4 linked regions of the Drosophila melanogaster genome follow. The protein of the gene in region 1 interacts with the protein of each later gene in a pairwise test. Each region holds a gene or a part of one and is shown in the gene's direction. Other genes may lie near its edges.

Evidence for each region.
Region 2: the proteins of Mlc2 (region 1) and NaCP60E interact in a two-hybrid assay, tested with the Drosophila melanogaster proteins (one large-scale study listed by BioGRID).
Region 3: the proteins of Mlc2 (region 1) and nmd interact in a two-hybrid assay, tested with the Drosophila melanogaster proteins (one large-scale study listed by BioGRID).
Region 4: the proteins of Mlc2 (region 1) and Cp38 interact in a two-hybrid assay, tested with the Drosophila melanogaster proteins (one large-scale study listed by BioGRID).

The regions. Positions count from the first base shown.
Region 1 is NT_033777.3:30,170,884-30,176,231, reverse strand, and holds Mlc2 (myosin light chain 2), read left to right. Parts: upstream 1-1,680; 5' UTR 1,681-1,745; coding exon 1,746-1,748; intron 1,749-2,417; coding exon 2,418-2,660; intron 2,661-2,819; coding exon 2,820-3,242; 3' UTR 3,243-4,794; downstream 4,795-5,348. Other genes in the region: Rsod (uncharacterized protein), read left to right, coding at 5,165-5,234.
Region 2 is NT_033778.4:24,889,852-24,894,672, forward strand, and holds the start of NaCP60E (Na channel protein 60E), read left to right. Parts: upstream 1-1,762; 5' UTR 1,763-1,986; intron 1,987-2,432; 5' UTR 2,433-2,697; intron 2,698-4,232; 5' UTR 4,233-4,718; coding exon 4,719-4,755; intron 4,756-4,821. Other genes in the region: Ance-5, read right to left, coding at 72-1,060. UniProt on the Drosophila melanogaster protein: Mediates the voltage-dependent sodium ion permeability of excitable membranes. Plays a role in processing of olfactory information during the olfactory avoidance response.
Region 3 is NT_033779.5:10,301,673-10,305,561, reverse strand, and holds nmd (no mitochondrial derivative), read left to right. Parts: upstream 1-1,614; 5' UTR 1,615-1,725; coding exon 1,726-1,907; intron 1,908-1,963; coding exon 1,964-2,891; 3' UTR 2,892-3,389; downstream 3,390-3,889. Other genes in the region: CG5390 (uncharacterized protein), read left to right, coding at 57-413, 480-735, 793-1,400; CG13138 (uncharacterized protein), read left to right, coding at 3,607-3,618, 3,703-3,889.
Region 4 is NC_004354.4:8,479,800-8,483,831, forward strand, and holds Cp38 (chorion protein 38), read left to right. Parts: upstream 1-2,037; 5' UTR 2,038-2,114; coding exon 2,115-2,159; intron 2,160-2,385; coding exon 2,386-3,261; 3' UTR 3,262-3,512; downstream 3,513-4,032. Other genes in the region: Cp36 (chorion protein 36), read left to right, coding at 1-501.

The DNA.
Region 1 (5,348 bases):
TAATATTCCCAGAAACATTCTGCACCTTGGAAAATTGAATACATTTGCCGCAGTTTTCATTAGTTTTAACATTCCTTCGACTGCGTCTTGCTCGTTTTTTGCACTTTGTTCTATTTTTACATTCGCGTATATTCAATGCTACTTTGCGTATTAGATTGTGGGCAGTTTTCCTCTATATCTTCTTGTTTTGGTTGGCCCCAGGCCAAAATGTCGCCTGGTTACGTGCCAAAATGGCTGCGCCATGAGAGTTTTCGCCGAAAATCACTTTCAATGGAGCACGAAGATGACTGCAGCCTAAATCGATTTTCATTATGTCTGATCGATGAATTATGAAGGCTTTCTCGCACGGATCCCATCGTTAATTGAGATATTTTCCGTTTCATAAATTTGCATAGAGCCTTCATTAATTATAATATTAGCCAGCGAGGGTAATGAATTCAGGTGGCAAAGATGACCTCATGTAAATATTGTTTTGAAAAATGTTTTGGCTTATTTCCTTCAGAAAGCAAAAAGTCGAATAATTTGCAGAATGAATATTTCTAAAAAAAATAGATGTAAACTATATGAATAATAATATTTTGTAACACTTGAAACTAAATTGAAATTTCCTGCTTATTTGGAAAACTAAAAATGTGTAAATAAGGCTTTGAGAATCCAATTTGTCGATTGAAGTTGTCACAATTTTACTATTTATTTACTGAAATGGCTTAAATAGCTTGAATACTGCAGTGTTTAATATTTTTAGTAACAAGGTTAATGTATCATGACGTGGTACCCAAAGTTTATCTGAAATGGAAATCCTACAGCCTTCCCATTGTTATGCAATGTCCATGGATGACTAGCATATAGATAAAGTCAGATGTTTATTCCACATTTGTTGCCGAAATAACTCTGGTCCAATATCGGGTTCGTTGGATATTTATGCGACACGAAATCCGCCCGATCGCCGTGTATGTATATACAGATCTATAGATTTGGAATTCTCGGCGCTCTTCATATTGCACAATGTGCGGGGCATTTCGAAAACAGAAAAAGGAACGTAGGCGAGCAAAACATCGAGTATATAGGCGTGAATAGAATACATACATATGCTATATGTTGGCATATATGTATGCTGTCCGCCGCCAAGGAAAATGTAGGTGATTTCAGCGCAAGAGGACACCTTTCGGAGGTGGCCTCTGGCAGAGAGACGCACCGAGTAGTGAAGCAGAGCAAAATAAAAGAAAACAAAACAGAATCCGAGGATGGGGAAATGTATCCACAACAGAGAGCCGCTATATGAACCAATCCGAATCGCCCCGAAATAAATTCCGAACATATGTATAGGCTTCTGCTGCCCAAAAGCCAAAGCCAAAGCAATTTCTCTGCCTTTAAAATTAGATTTTTGATTAGAGCAGCGCCCGATGGATGAGTAAACACCTCGGATACAGCTACACCATAGGCTATAGGCTATAGCCATGGCTATATCTATATAGTTGTAGCTGCCCGCCCCCGCCGATCTCCTGGGCGGACCTCGCCTTGCAGATACTAAAAAAGGCAGCACGAATATTGCAGATACGGATACAGCGAATGGCGCCCGAAGATCCCCGAAGGTGGCCGAACCTCCACGAGCGGCCCCAATGCTTGGAAGAAGAAGAGCTCCTCCGAGCTCTTAAAACATCATTGTCTTGGCGATAAAATCAGCCAGAGATTCAGTGTGCTCTGACGGCTCGACTCGATTAGACAACACATCAAAGTTCAGCACCATGGTAAGGACTCGTCCCGGAATATCACTACAATCCAACTGAACCGAACTGAACCGAACCGAATCGAACTGGACCCCAGTGCCTGGATATATGCAGCAAGGATAATGCCGATCAGTGCAGTGAATCGTTTGCATTCGAGAATGACCCCGAGGATATGAATATGAAGTGAACCATAACTCTAAATCATGGTGATCCCGATTCACCTTCTTCACATACGCAGTGAGAATAGTGCAGAAAGTTCTATAAATGGATCGATCCGATCCGAGTGTTACGCGTCAGTAATGTAATCTGATATCCGTGCCGGGGAGCGAGCGAGACAGCGAGTGGCGCACGGCGGAGAGCTTACGTAATATGCGTCCGGTATATTTTTAGAATGAGTGGAAAACTTTCGCCTGCAGATACATATTTTCTGGCCTAGTCGGGTAGGCCTTTTGAAAAGCATACCTTACATCCCTTAAATCCCTATTAAGGGATAACTTTCTACCCATATAATTCCAATTGAAGATCCTTCAACGCGGATAACTTACTAAGATCCCTAAAACGAATAGTATAACTTCCGGAATCGGAACTTTCAAGTGACAGCTAAAGACGGACTATAACGACTAATGACCGAGTAGATACCCCCTTTCTGCCACGAGTCCCTACTAATAAATCCCTCTTTTCTCTCCTCAGGCCGATGAGAAGAAGAAGGTTAAGAAGAAGAAGACCAAGGAAGAGGGTGGTACTTCCGAAACCGCTTCTGAGGCCGCATCCGAGGCAGCAACCCCGGCACCAGCTGCCACTCCTGCCCCGGCCGCATCTGCCACTGGTTCGAAGAGAGCGTCGGGCGGATCCCGTGGCTCCAGGAAGTCGAAGCGCGCTGGCTCCTCGGTCTTCTCTGTGTTCTCCCAGAAGCAGATCGCCGAGTTCAAGGAGGTGAGTTTTGGGCGTTACTCATATATCGCATCATATGTCGGATCACTCGAGACCCATCCCATCATCCTGTCATCCTACCATCTATCGCACTTGTCAAGGACCAAGTCACCAACACACTCTTTCTTTCTATCTCTCTCTGTCTCTGTGCGGGATCGATAGGCCTTCCAACTCATGGATGCCGACAAGGACGGTATTATTGGCAAGAACGATCTGCGCGCTGCCTTCGACTCCGTCGGCAAGATCGCCAACGACAAGGAGTTGGACGCCATGCTGGGCGAGGCCTCGGGTCCGATCAACTTCACCCAGTTGCTGACCCTGTTCGCCAACCGCATGGCCACCTCCGGTGCCAACGATGAAGACGAAGTTGTTATTGCTGCCTTCAAAACATTCGATAACGATGGTCTCATCGACGGTGACAAATTCCGCGAAATGCTCATGAACTTCGGTGACAAGTTCACCATGAAGGAGGTTGATGATGCCTACGATCAGATGGTGATCGACGACAAGAACCAGATCGATACCGCCGCCCTGATCGAGATGCTCACCGGCAAGGGTGAAGAGGAGGAGGAGGAGGCCGCCTAAGGCACATCCGATCACATCCTAACTTCTAACTCAACATCCATTTTACAGCCAGAATCAGAACGTTAAATCAATCAGTCAAATCAGTAATAATAAACGTAATTAAAAGAAACGCTCGTTTACATATGTAGATTCTCAGTATCTTGTAATCTCTTTTGTTAACCATCACCAAGTACCTTGTACCAAGAACAACACCACCAACCAGATCAGCAACATCCGATCAAACTGAACCTCAAAAGAACTTCTTCAGCAACATTTGGTAGCGATCAGAACCATTTACCATGTATCTGTCCATCATAGTTAGGGATACTTACGATCACGTTCACTGTCACGGCAAGAACTGACGCGTAGTTTTCTAGTTGATTTACTGTTAAATTTTACACGTAAAATTTATAAAACATATGCTATCTATTTTATTTAAAACACCTATAAAATCAACAAAAAAAACTTAAAAACAACAAACAAGCCGTGTCTATTTTTATATCGCTGTCCGTTGAAGAACTAAAGAGAAGAACCCCCAGAGAGAGATGATTACCAGATCGAGATCGAGATCGGAATCGAAATGAGGATGTATGATGTATGATTTATGATGTAGGGAGGACGAAGACGATGTTGATGGGTAGCCGGGCTGTATTCGTTAGCCCTGCACCCGCGAGTTCAATTTGATTATGAATATGAATTTTAGCCAGTTTTGTGAGTTACAATGTTTTTCGTTCAAGAAATCTCGCAGGACCAGGAGAGAGAGAGGTAAACCCATAACAAACTATTGTTAGGGATCATTTAACTGAGAGCCAAATATATATCCTACTATCACAAAATATTTATCGTTATACATATCTATCGTTCGTTACTTACTTATTTATCAGTTATGAGTTATCAATATTATTGCAAGTTATCGAGAGTTAGGCTAATAACAGAGAAACATTAAGTTCATTCACTCAAATTGTTTAATGCGAATTTATATAACTTAACCATCGCCACCACCACAACTTTCTGCTTATGAACTATCAGCGATATAAACCACCCAAACGAACAAACAACCCAAAATGATATCTGAAATATGAAGAAACATTCAAATAACAAACCCAGTGTTTCTAGTTAATGCGTTTTGAAGCTTCCAGGATGATACGCCTCCCCGGGAAATAGACGGTCGGGGGGGTTTTAGTTTGAATAAGGTGCCCATAACCACTAGTACCTAGGCTGATCGGAGGAAGCACAATATATTGCCTTATTTATCTAATACTACTATTACTCAGAACTCAACACTTGACACTCGACACGAGCACACACCACACTCACACGCACACTGCAATCCATTTCAAAGTGCAACATGCAACAAGTTGTTAAATGCAAATCGAATCTTTACTTCAGTATATTTTAAGCTACACACGGCAAGATGAAAAAATTCAGAAAACTTTTAACCCGGTCAGGAATATTAACAAGAGTAAAACAAAAAACATCTAAAAATAGAAAACAAGTAACTGTTTTTATACAACATAACTAGATGATGATACGATGACGAAGTCTTGGAATAAAGCAAAAGAGAGTCGTCTTGAAAAAAAAACACAAAGCCATTGAAGTTTGATTTGCTCAGGGAAGGGGTTTTTTGGGGGTATGTAGTACCTTACTGCATATCTGACTCAGCTGAGCCGTGCCGGAAACCAGTTCCAGGTCAAAACAAAACCACCGATAAAGCTGGGGAGCTGAACGAAGCTGTGGAGCGCAGTGGGAAACTCCCCACACTTGGCCAAGACGATGGCCAAAACCGAACACGAACCTTCGAGCGACCAGTTGTCAGTCGAGTTTCGAGGCGCACGCATGCGCACTACGATGTGAAAGTCAGCCACGCTTGTCATTGCCACATCCATTCCGAACAGCGCTTTTCGAATAATCTGGTTACTCAGGGCGTAAGTAGAACCAGAACCATGGCTCCAGGTGGACGACAGCTTTTGTGGATGGCTTCCATCTGCTGGATTGCATCACTAATGAGTGGAGGTGAGTGCTGGGAATCGATTGCATTGTATGCAGATATTGCGTGGCCAAAGAAATCGAAAGTATCTCAGTTTGAGTCTGGAATATCTCACCACACTCTCGAGTGCACTGCAAGAA
Region 2 (4,821 bases), on another chromosome or scaffold:
TTTTTGGAATTACTGTTTAAAATGGAAATACCTGCTTACAATTTTGAAACCTGTAGAGCATATATACTTACTTCGGCATAACCATTAAGCCCAACGATTCAAAAAACTCGGCAGCTTTGCGGTTGATTTTGACGGGCGTCACCAGGACCTCCTCCAGACGCCGATGAACGGAGGGCAACTGATGCTGTCTGCCCTGGTGCGGTGTGCGAAAGAACTGGTGAGGATACCAGTCCTGCGACAGGATCTGGTCCATAATGGGAGCGGAGATGGCGCCATCGCTCTTTGTGTCCGCCTTTGGGTAGGCAGCTTGCACCTCGCGACGCAAATAGGCGTGCAGTTCTCGATATAGCGGCATTATCTCCCACACGACCGCCTCCATTTCAGCTTGAAAGTTCTCCGTGTCGTAGTTAAGGTACCACGTGCGCGAGGGCGTCACATGCCCGTTGTAAGTGGCAGCGATCCGGAGAAGCCTAACGTAGCCGATGAACGTGTTCTTGGCCACGTCCTTCTCGTTAATGGCCCTGCGCCAGGCCTTCCAGTTGATGACCAGATCCTCGTATAGCTTGGTGTGCATGTTTTTGTTCATGATCTGCGGGTACATGGCCAGCGAACCACGGGCGGAGCAGTCCTCGTAAGGGCAGACCAGGGGTCCGTTGACAAAGTTATGGATCTGACGTAGAAGGTCCTTGGCCTGCTCGTAGTCCTTTGGCCGCAGTCCCTGCAGCTGCAACTTGGCCATTCGCTGCACGCGCCTACGAAGAAGTGGGTCATTCAATTCAGCCACTGACACAACGCTGAGATTGCCCGCTAAGTCGTAAAATAGTCGATAGGTCTCCGCCTCTACCTCCAGCTTGGAGTTGAGAACCTGTCCGCCCAGAGGTGACTTTCCTTTGGCCGTGAGCTGCACAAAGATCCTGCGGTTCAGACTCCACACGTGGCGCATGCGGTCTTTGGCTCTATCAAGTATCTGCTTGGTAGCCAGTTCATAGCTGGACTGGCCGATTCCGAAGGTCACGGAGAGCAGAAGGATTAGCGATACTCCTAAAAAAGGCAACCGCATTTTGCCTTCGCTGGCTTCCGTTTCGCCTTGATAAGGTTATCGGAGTGCTTTCGAATGCGACTTGGGATTTGCTTCCGACTCTGACGAAAGCTCGAGCAGAACTGAGTCCAGACTGCCAGTCGAGCCGCAGGCTTATCAATCTAAGTCCGGGGCATTGAGCTTATCTGTAATTGGGAAAGAAACCCAGCTAGCGATCTCTCCAAGCAAACGTTGCGTATACGTTACGAGCTTGGCATTATTTATACGCTGAGTGTGCCAGCCCGAGGCGGAAATCGCAGTGGGCACGGCGGGGAAGACATCCTTACACCATAATAGACTGATTAACAGCTGCTGGTTTTGTTAGCCAGTGGCCCATATTCAAGCAAAATCATTTTGACATATTCCTTCCGAAGAAGAGACAGCGGAGGTAGTCCTTTGCCCCGCGGTGCACCAGCGGAGCATTCGGAATTTAAATCGGAGAAATATGGGGAAGTTCGTCGTTCGTGTTGCATGTGGCACGGCATTTGTTTATGCCGGCTGACCTACAAGCAAACGTGAGGGCGCAGGGGGACTCTGCTCACGAAGGCGAGCGTGAGAGCATTTCCCGCACGAGTCCTTTTCGAGAGAATAGGGGGAAGTTCGCGTGTGTATTTTTTCATCGCTCTGCATCGTGGTCGCCCTGCAGATTACGTCAAACGGAAAGGAAACCCGTTAGCCGAGCTCAGTCTCCGACAAACCTTAGAACCGAGCAGTCGCCATGCAAGCGCACGTATTTACAGTGGCCCAGTGTCATAGTGTCCTAGTATGAAGTGAAAAAATCAAGGAATATGGTGAAAAGTGAAAAGTGAAAGGCAGTAAAAAGCCTGAAAGGGCATGGAACATAGCGCGGAACTCGCACCCCTACAGCCGCACAGTGAAGCGCGTTACCATCACAAGTGCATTATTCGGTGCGATGAAAATTCTTCAGCGCCCAAAAATAGAGTGAAATGTGTGCTGCATATTGTTGTTGCTGCTACTGAGTTGCTTAAGGGAGGGGGAGAGGCCACGACGGAAACTAACCTACATTTTCGCGCTCTTTCGCACGCTTTTGCTGACACACACACAGGCACACGTGCGGTGCCAGAGAGGCCACCGTGCTATCTCTTTCGCACTCACCCTTTGGGCCGCGAAAGAAATCAACAGTAAATTGTAATAACACTTCTTAGACTGCCAGTAGGCTTTTGCATGTGTGTGTGTGCGTGTGTCAAACAATGTGCGTGCCCGAAGTTTTTTGCTTTGTTCTGTTTTTGTTGCTGGTTCCGTTTCAACATCCCCACCCACTCACAGTCACATTGTTGCACAGTTGCGACTAAATAAAAATGTAATTAATGTAAAATAAAATCAAATAAAACAGCAGCAGGAGAAAAAACAACTGGATCGGGAATGGTGATTGAGCCAGTGTTGGGAAGTCGATGTTAAAGTGCGAGTGAAGGCGAACGTGTGCAAATGTGCTTTGTGTTCGTGTGTTGCAGGCCCAAGAAAGTAAAATACGAAAATAGAAATAGAAATTGCCGGAGTGCAAACACACAAGCGATTACATAAAGCCCAACTAGCATCCCCAACATCCGACAACTGCAACCAGCGGAGAATAAAAAAAAATTGATGGCCAATGCTTAAAGGTAAAATCGGATATTCATACGCGTGTGCGTGTGTTAGTGTTTGGGGGGAAGTTTGGGTTCCAACGCAACAGCAATGTCCTGGTCATAAATTAGCCCTTGATGTGCACTTAACTAGGTGGCCACACTTTCTCTTCGTTTCGAAGCGCTTCGTTCTGTTCGCACGAAGGAGAGAGCTAAAATGGCGGAAGGGGACCGATAACAAAATTCGTAGCACAACTTTAGGGGCCAACTGGCAAAGCTCTGCCAGCCGCACTTTTATGAGCCAACTTTAAAACCAACCGCTGGTCACGCCCAGAAAGCAGAAACCAGAAACAGAAGCGAGTATCCCCGCCCCAAAGAGAAAGACCCCACCGAACAATTGAAAGCCAACAACACACTGCTTAATGCCTCGAGCGCCGCTCTCATTGTTGTAATAAAAGTGTTTTTGCCGATTTGTGTGTGTCTGGGACAGACCAGCAAATGCAGGTGGATCTCCAATGGCACACGACAGCCCAGCCTCCAGGCGTAATGGCACATCCCTGCCACTGCCAGCGAATTTCCGCCAGCAAACATCACATCAACTGCCATAACGGGGTGTTGGAAACTTAATATTGAATATTTTATGGGCGCCTTCATCTACCGCTTTTCCATTTTTGCTGCCAGTTGCGAGTTGCCAGTTGCTCGCAGACGTGTCAAGAAGTTTGCGAGAAACACAACAGGAAGCGCCGGCCTACACAAGCACCTACACACCCATACACATGCCCATATATGCACAACAATGCCGGGAGCAGCATCAACAAAGCGCTGAGCAATGAGCAGCCCCCGACCCACGCCACAGCCTACGCAAGCTCATTGCTTTTTCGTTGGGCGCCATTTATCAATTCTTGTATCTTACTTGTGTTGTGTGCGTCTGTGGAGAAGATGCTAGATTGTGTGTATGGGTGTGCCCATAATGTTAATTAACTTTATCTCGCTCAAGCTTTAAGTCTTGAAGCGGCACTCATTTCCCGGCCCTCGCCACAATTCGCATTCTTCCCCTTCAGGTGCTTATCTCTTCCGTTACGCACATAACACATACGTTGGCCGAGTGAGTCGTTACGTTGCGTATACGTACTGCACTGGCAGAAAGGTTTTTCTCAGTCTTGAGGAAGTCCCCATTGAGTGCTGACTGCTATCTTTGTTTCACGGAACCAAATCCGTACATTTGTTCCTCTTTTCGATTGTCTTGTATTAATTCACAGTATAGTAGTAGTAGTGAAATAAAAAGGCTTGGTATTTGAAAAAAATTGGCAGAATGAAGAGAAATTATAATCGTATGTGTTCAAAGGACACCTTTTTTTTATTTTAAGGTCATCAATCTGAAGATTTTTTCTGAGTGTGAGCCGCGTGCCTTGGTTCGGGTGCTTTGAGCTGTAGGGGATTAGCGCGCTGCCAATTAACGTTACATGACACGACGCAGAGCAATTGCGGGCAGAGGCGATTTAATTTACTCTCATTCCCCCTACTTGCATAAGCTTAAATCTTTCCACTTACATCAATCTCTTTCTCTCGTTTAGAAAACATACGCATCGCATCGCAAAATGTAAAGCAATAATCAGCACAACAAAGCCAAAGCTCACAATAGAAGTAGACGACCAGGCTGAGCAACTGAGCTGGGACGATGCCAAATGCCATTATTGGAAACGGTCGTAGTCATAAGATTTGCATAGTATAGCAATAGCAGCAGACATCATGAAAGCCCCAAGCGTGATAAGCACAGCAACAATAGCAACAGCAATAGTAGATACTAGGCACAACATGGTTAACAAAGGGAACGGTGACAATATAATCGGTAAACTGAGCGATCGACTCGCTTGAATAGTGAGATAGACATATGCCCAGTGTTCGAAAATCGAGTGAGAAGCCTGGCAAAAGAGAGCGCGACCAAGGCATGCAGCTGCCCTAAGGACCTCGCCCAGGACGACGACGACGACGGAGTCGAAGGACCAAGAAGCAACCGCAACCAGAGGCAGCACCCAACAAAACGACGACAATCAGTCAAGATGAGTGATGATCAAGCGACGTTCAACGATGAGAAAGGTGAGTCCCCTAACCGCTAAGCCCTCCTGATACTGCTATTGATAGTTTTCTAAGCCACCCGGCCTC
Region 3 (3,889 bases), on another chromosome or scaffold:
TGACCTTAATTATGTAAATATGTAAAGAGCATGATTTAATTTTGCTTTCCAGGAATATGATATTACTAAATTGCCTAGTAATATGCCTGTGCATATTTTCCTGTGGTGCCCAGGACTCTTCCTTGGACAAATTGATATCGGACATCTTTAAAACGGACGAAACACCCAAACCATCATCCCCTCCCCCGCCAGTGGTGAACCCCAAGGATTCGTCCGGTAGCACGGGATCCGAAAACGGAGGATCGAGTTCAACGCAGTACCAGTCCTGTGGCGATCAAAAGGAGTGTGTTCCTCGCTGGTTGTGCGCCAATGATACGATTAACACCAGTGGCGATGGTATCATTGACATTCGACTTGGTACGGACGCCGAATGCAAGAACTATTTGGATCTTTGCTGTGATCTGCCCAACAAGGTAACACATACATAAATACCAATAAGCTTTGATTACTTAAATTAAACTATAATTTTATTTGTTAAGAGAAAAGATCCGATTTTCGAGTTTAAGCCTGATCATCCCGAGGGCTGCGGTTACCAAAATCCCAACGGCGTTGGCTTTAAGATCACTGGAGCTGTCAACCAGGAGGCCGAATTCGGCGAATTCCCCTGGATGCTGGCCATTCTCCGGGAAGAAGGCAACCTTAACCTGTACGAATGTGGAGGAGCATTGATAGCTCCCAATGTGGTTCTGACCGCGGCGCATTGCGTTCACAACAAACAGCCCAGTAGCATTGTTGGTAAGTGTACATGCCATCTATGCCATCTATGAGATCTAATTATGAACTGGCATTTAGTGAGAGCTGGCGAATGGGATACGCAAACGCAGACTGAGATCAGAAGGCACGAAGACCGATATGTCAAGGAAATAATCTACCATGAGCAGTTCAACAAGGGATCGCTCTATAACGATGTGGCTGTCATGCTGTTGGAAAGTCCATTCACCCTCCAGGAGAACATTCAGACCGTTTGCCTGCCCAATGTGGGTGATAAATTCGATTTCGATCGCTGCTATGCCACCGGCTGGGGCAAGAACAAGTTCGGCAAGGATGGGGAATATCAGGTTATCCTGAAGAAGGTCGACATGCCCGTGGTGCCCGAGCAGCAGTGCGAGACGAATCTGCGCGAAACTCGACTCGGCAGGCATTTCATTCTGCACGACAGCTTCATTTGCGCCGGCGGTGAGAAGGACAAGGACACCTGCAAGGGTGATGGTGGCTCCCCACTGGTGTGTCCAATTGCTGGCCAGAAGAACCGCTTCAAGTCCGCCGGCATTGTTGCCTGGGGCATCGGATGCGGCGAGGTGAACATTCCCGGAGTGTACGCCAGCGTGGCCAAGCTTCGTCCGTGGATCGACGCCAAGTTGAAGATTTGGAGTATTGACCCCAGGCACTATACACCCTAAGAGCAAAATTGTCACTTGAATTTGTGGGTTTTAATCTTCATGCTTCACAATGCTCTCACTTAATATATGCCCAATATGTTAATACTCAAAATTAAAAAAAAAAAAAATCTTTTTATTTTAAGCTGAAAAAATATTTTCGGAACAGTGGAAAAGGAATAGGCTAACAAAAATTGAATTCAGTTGGCAGCAATTTTGAGCTTATCGATGTCAATTTCAGTCGGAGCACCTGGTCACACTGTCGTCGGTGTGCATGGGGAATAAGAACAAGAAAGATTAGATTCGTGCAGGCCAACGTATTTGCTCTAAATAGAATATCTGCAGAAACATGGACAACTTCGGACTGGGCGGATCGGATCTAAGCAAGGGGCAGATATTCCAGGTACTGGTTCGCCTGTCTGTGGCCTCGCTGATCACATATTATTCGGTGAAATGGATGATGAACCAGATGGATCCGACCAGTAAAAACAAGAAAAAGGCCAAAGTTCTGGCTGAGGAGCAGCTTAAGAGGTTTATATTAGACTCATATAGCATATATTGTACATGTGTAAACCTTTTCCATGCAGGCTAGCCGAGCAGGAGGGCTTCAAGCTAAGAGGGCAAGAGTTTAGCGACTACGAGCTTATGATTGCGTCACATCTTGTTGTTCCCGCCGACATAACAGTCAGTTGGGCCGATATCGCCGGTCTGGATTCAGTCATTCAGGAGCTCCGGGAATCGGTGGTGCTGCCAATCCAGCACAAGGATCTCTTCAAGCATTCGAAGCTGTGGCAGGCGCCCAAAGGCGTCCTGCTCCATGGACCACCGGGCTGTGGAAAGACGCTGATAGCGAAGGCGACGGCAAAAGAGGCGGGAATGCGCTTTATCAACTTGGACGTCGCCATTCTTACCGACAAGTGGTACGGGGAATCCCAGAAATTGACTTCTGCTGTCTTCTCGCTTGCATCGCGAATCGAGCCATGCATTATTTTTATTGACGAAATAGACTCATTTTTGCGATCTCGAAACATGAACGACCACGAGGCTACCGCCATGATGAAGACCCAGTTTATGATGCTGTGGGATGGCCTCAGCACGAACGCCAACTCGACGGTGATTGTGATGGGTGCCACGAACAGGCCGCAGGATTTAGACAAGGCCATTGTGCGCCGCATGCCAGCCCAATTCCACATTGGTCTGCCCTCGGAGACCCAACGAAAAGACATCCTGAAGCTGATCCTCCAATCGGAGGAAGTAAGTCAGGATGTCGACTTGAATCGCTTGTCCAAGCTCACAAATGGCTTCTCGGGCTCAGACCTGCGGGAAATGTGCCGGAATGCTTCAGTTTACCGAATGAGGCAGCTCATCACGTCCAGAGATCCGTCAGCTACAGCGCTTGATCGCAACAACGTCCGCATCACCATGGACGATTTGCTGGGCTCGCACTTAAAAATTAAGGAATCAAAGATGCACACGAGCAGCCTATTCTTAGAGAATAGAATCGAATTAGATTAAGCTGACCATTGTTTATTCAAGCTCCCGATATATCCAACTTAAATTTGTATAATAAACTTTTTATTTGCCTTTCGAGAGGAGCTCCAATGTTATGTGTTAATTAACCCTGTTCTCTGCATTCCAAAATGGGTATCCGGAAAACGTAGTTTTGGTAGTCTTGAAAACAGCAACGGATACTGCAGGAAATTACACAATCCATAGCATTTCCGTAAAGCGGAGCTCAATGCACTTTAATTATTACATTTACGGGCTTCTGTGAAATATTCACCTAGAGAAATTTCAAACATTTATAAAGATATTGCACTTGTACACTTCTTCAAACACACACACAACTTGCGTCACGCGACCGTGGGCTTTCAATCGTAAAAAAAAATATAAGTAAACTTGTGCAGTTTTATTCTCTTTTAAAAAGGTCGTTTATTTCTGACGGCATTTCAAAGCTACACATTTGTATATCTAATTAAAAATGAATAAAAACATGCATACATTTTAAATAATCAAACCAAAACAAATTAGTTCTTGATGTTTTTGTATAATTTCTTAATTTAAGAAAAATATAGAGTGTACAAACTTCAAGCGAAGAAATTTGCTTCTGCACATTTTAATTATGTTTCGTGCTCATATAAATACTTTCTTCGATTGGCTCAAATCATTTCTGTTGAAGGCGTTGATTAAACCACTTCAAATCCAAGCGAGACTATATACTTAACAAAAAATGAACCCAATGGTAAGCTATATTTCCAATTTGTCTTTTTGATAGGAGATATTTTGTATGTACATACTTCATTTACGCGCATCCTTTCTATTTCAGTTAACTTTGATTCCTGGATACCTATTCATAACCTTAATAATTATTGGAAGTACTGCACACAGTAATTCCTATGCTGTGAATAAAACCAATAGTGTCGAAAGTGCCGAGTGGAGCTATCCTGAATACGGAAAAGGATCTACTCACAATACCGGAAGAAGATCGGAAAAGCTGGATCTGCAACATTATA
Region 4 (4,032 bases), on another chromosome or scaffold:
CAGGGCAAGATCAAGGTGGTGTCGCCACAGTTCGTTGACCAGCATCTGTTCCGCTCCCTGTTGGTGCCATCGGGCCACAACAATCACCAGGTGATCGCCACCCAGCCCCTGCCACCAATCATTGTCCACCAGCCTGGTGCACCACCAGCCCATGTGAACAGCGGCCCACCGACTGTGGTGCGCGGCAATCCGGTGATCTACAAGATCAAGCCCTCGGTCATCTACCAACAGGAGGTGATCAACAAGGTGCCCACTCCGCTGAGCCTCAACCCCGTCTACGTGAAGGTCTACAAGCCCGGCAAGAAGATCGAGGCTCCACTGGCCCCGGTGGTTGCACCCGTCTACAGCCAGCCCAGGGAGTACAGCCAGCCCCAGGGTTATGGTAGTGCCGGAGCTGCTTCCTCCGCCGCCGGTGCCGCCTCCTCTGCCGATGGCAATGCCTACGGCAACGAGGCTCCACTGTACAACAGCCCCGCGCCCTATGGCCAGCCCAACTACTAAGGTGCTCATCCTGGGCATGGGTTGCTCCTCAGCTGCGACAGCTGGTTTAATTTAAATTTTTGTTTTTTTTTTTCTTTGCCGAACTACTGAGCGCAAATAAATGAAAAAAAAATACTTGAAACGTAAACGTTTTGTCATCAATTATTTTCGACCGGAAGGGGCTACCTGAGTGGCAATGAAGCACACAGATTAAGCACATATTTATGAATATATAAATATATACGAATGCATGAGAGAACAAAAAATTATATCTAGTTTTCTTCAAAAATAAATAATAAAGGGGAAAATGGTATAAAGTATGAACATAAAATTATGAACGAGTATAAATAAGTTTGTAATTGAAATCTCTACGGTCATACAAGTATTTTAACTATTCTATAAATATGCATAAACATGGTACGCATTTTATGAGATACAATTCGAAAGATATTGGATAGCATTATCATGCATGAAATTATTTCACACTCTTGTGATGGTAGCTATCTTATTCCAGTTATCGTTTAATTGCAAAGAATGGGATCAAAAGGTCATCTTTATCAACATATTGTTGATTCCGGAATGAATAATAAATAATAACATAACTATGAATTAATGGAGCAACTATAATTTTACGGCCTCTTTTCTTTTAAACAAAGAATATAGCACTTTTAATGCATTAAATACGTATTTAAACCTTTTCTTTTGAAACGCCAAATTCATATTAGAGTTTCATAAGATTGTTTTAAAACATAACAACATAATAATTGAAGAATTGGAAATCTTTTTAGGTGTTTGTAAGCCTTTGAATTCCTAATTGGAATAGCTAAAGATCCATATTTCATCTTCAAATCTCTTTGCAACTAGAGATTTATTTTATCTGGCAATTATTAAGTATACATTTTTATATGGTACTTTAAACTGATGGTTTAATCAGTTACATGGATTTTCTAAATTAAAAATGGTCATGTGAAGATAGCCACTCTTCTAACAATCTAATCACATTTATAGTAAGAAATACAATACAATACAATACAATACAATACAATACAATACAATACAATAGAAAGACAATCGAATCTGCGCAATCCGTGTGAAATTCAAGGACTACAGCTGGGTGGCTAATCATTTCCCCCTATCCACTTACACCTCGGATTACCTCTTATTCCGACTCCCGGAGTCTTGTGTCTGCCAATGCGGAACTATTTTCGCTATCTGAACAGACGTTCGGACCTCGATATGCGGCAAAGATTCACAGCCCGGCTGTTGATTCCGATTCGGTGGCAATGTGTTCGTTGTTATTGTAAAACGGGCAATGGCAACTGGGCAGTGGGCAGTGGGGTTTTCGGGTTGTGGCTTCTACGTAAGTGGAAGAGACGCCGTGATATGCGCTGGCAGCGATGCGTGCGATCTATCAACATTTGGCCATGTTTCGTTCGCATCGCGTGGGCCCGGAGCGGAACAGCCGGCACCGGAGTTGGCATCAATCCAAATGTCACGTACCCGGAGCCGGAGACGCGTCCGGAGCATATTTAAAGTAGTCGGCCACCAATGGAGGGCAGCAGAAGACAGCAGACAGTCCAAGCGGGAGCACACCAGAAGCCGAAGAGCAACTGGAACTGCAACTGGGAGACAAGATGACGAGATCGACCTACATTTGGGCGCTGGCCGCCTGCCTGATCGTAAGTGTTCAAGCTCGAAATCTTAGGATTAATCCCAAGAAAACCAAGTCTATCAATTCTGACTGCTTTCGTTTGTGCCATGTAAATCGTACATGAAAAGCAAATTGACTTTCCTTTAAATTACTTGAAACGGAATCAAGCTATCTATCGATGCTAGACTTATTTTAAGTATATGTATATGTCGATCCAATTCTAATCCACCCCCCCCCCCTCAATTTACTTTTAGGCCTGTGCAAGCGCCAACTACGGCAGTTCCCAGGGCTATGGACCCGAGTCCGGAAGCGGTGCCTCCGATGGCGGTGCTGATGCCGCTTCAGCGGCCGCAGCAGCTGCCGGCGGTGCCGGTGGAGCTGGTGGCGAGTACGGTGGTGCTAACGCCGGTGCTGGTGCTCTCGAATCCGGAGCCGATGCCGCCGGTGTGGCACAGGCTGGCCAGAGCAGCTACGGATCCGACCAGAACATTCCGTACAAGCCGGTGAACACCAAGGGTAACACCCTGACCTCATCGATCACCTACCCGCAGAACAAGGGCGAGATCCTCATCCATCGTCCCGCTCCCATCATTGTCAAGCGTCCGCCCACCAAGGTGCTGGTGAACCATCCACCATTGGTGGTTAAGCCCGCTCCCGTGGTGCTCCACAAGCCCCCAGCAATCGTTCTCCGCAAGGTCTACGTCAAGCACCACCCACGTCGCGTCAAGGTTGAGCCCGTGTTCGTCAATGTGGTCAAGCCCCCAGCAGAGAAGTACTTTGTCAACGAGAACAAGCAGGGCTACGGACAGGGCTCGCAGTCCCACGGACACGGCCATGGACACGGTGGCCATGGACACGGACACAGCGGACACGGACACGGTGGACACGGTGCTGGACCCCATGGTCCTGGACCCCATGACGGTGGCCGTGCTCTGCCCGCCTACGCTTCGGGAGCTGATTCCGCTGCCGCCAGCGCTGGCTATCAGCTGCTCCAGAGCGGCAACCAGGGTCTGTCCGCTCTTGCCAACATCGCCGGCGAGCGTGAGGGTCCCTATGGTCCCGCTCCAAGCCATCAGCACTATAGCGCCGGTCCAGCCGGACATGGCGGCTATGCTGCTCCCGCCTATTAGGTAACAGATGCGGAGGAGTTACGGATTGGATGACTGCTGCGGCTCCGGAATCAACTGAAGCGGCTGGTTTAGTCATTCGCTTATCCGGCTGATTAGTTACTATGTTTTTTTTACAAAAAAAAAAAAAAAAAACAGCCTGATCGACCAACGCCCATGCCTACGCCCACGCCCACTCATGCACACCCCAATACCACCCACTCACCCATTCAACGGCCCAGGAGGGGCGTGGCACTCAGGTTTCTTTGCAAAACAAATAAAAAATTTGAACAAAAAAAAAAAAACAATTATACCCAAGCTGAATGTTGTTTTCGATGAAGGGTGAAATCTAGATGCTAGTTATATTTAAATTAAACTATCATTAGATATATACTCTAATTGATAGTTATTGATAGTCTTGCGACTCATTTTAAACTTGATACACTTATAGCATAGACAGTGAGTAATATCATTGATATTATTATATAATTATTGTTACACAAAGTGCATATGATGAGAATCGATTTAATGATGGGAGAACTGACTTACCCGCAACTTTATTCGCAGCAACAAGTGTCGCATATAATAAATACAATAAATCCGAAACGCAGGCTGTCATTACACACATCGTTTGGTTGTCCTTCCCCATTGTTGTGCGTTATGCCAATGGCATCCCACGCAATTGTTCAATAACAAACGGGCGGCAAAATCGGCTATAATGATAGGTAAGGCAAAGAAGAGCTCGGCTGATGACAGGTGGAATCGCAATTTAGGTCGCCCAGTGCCGCCCATTTG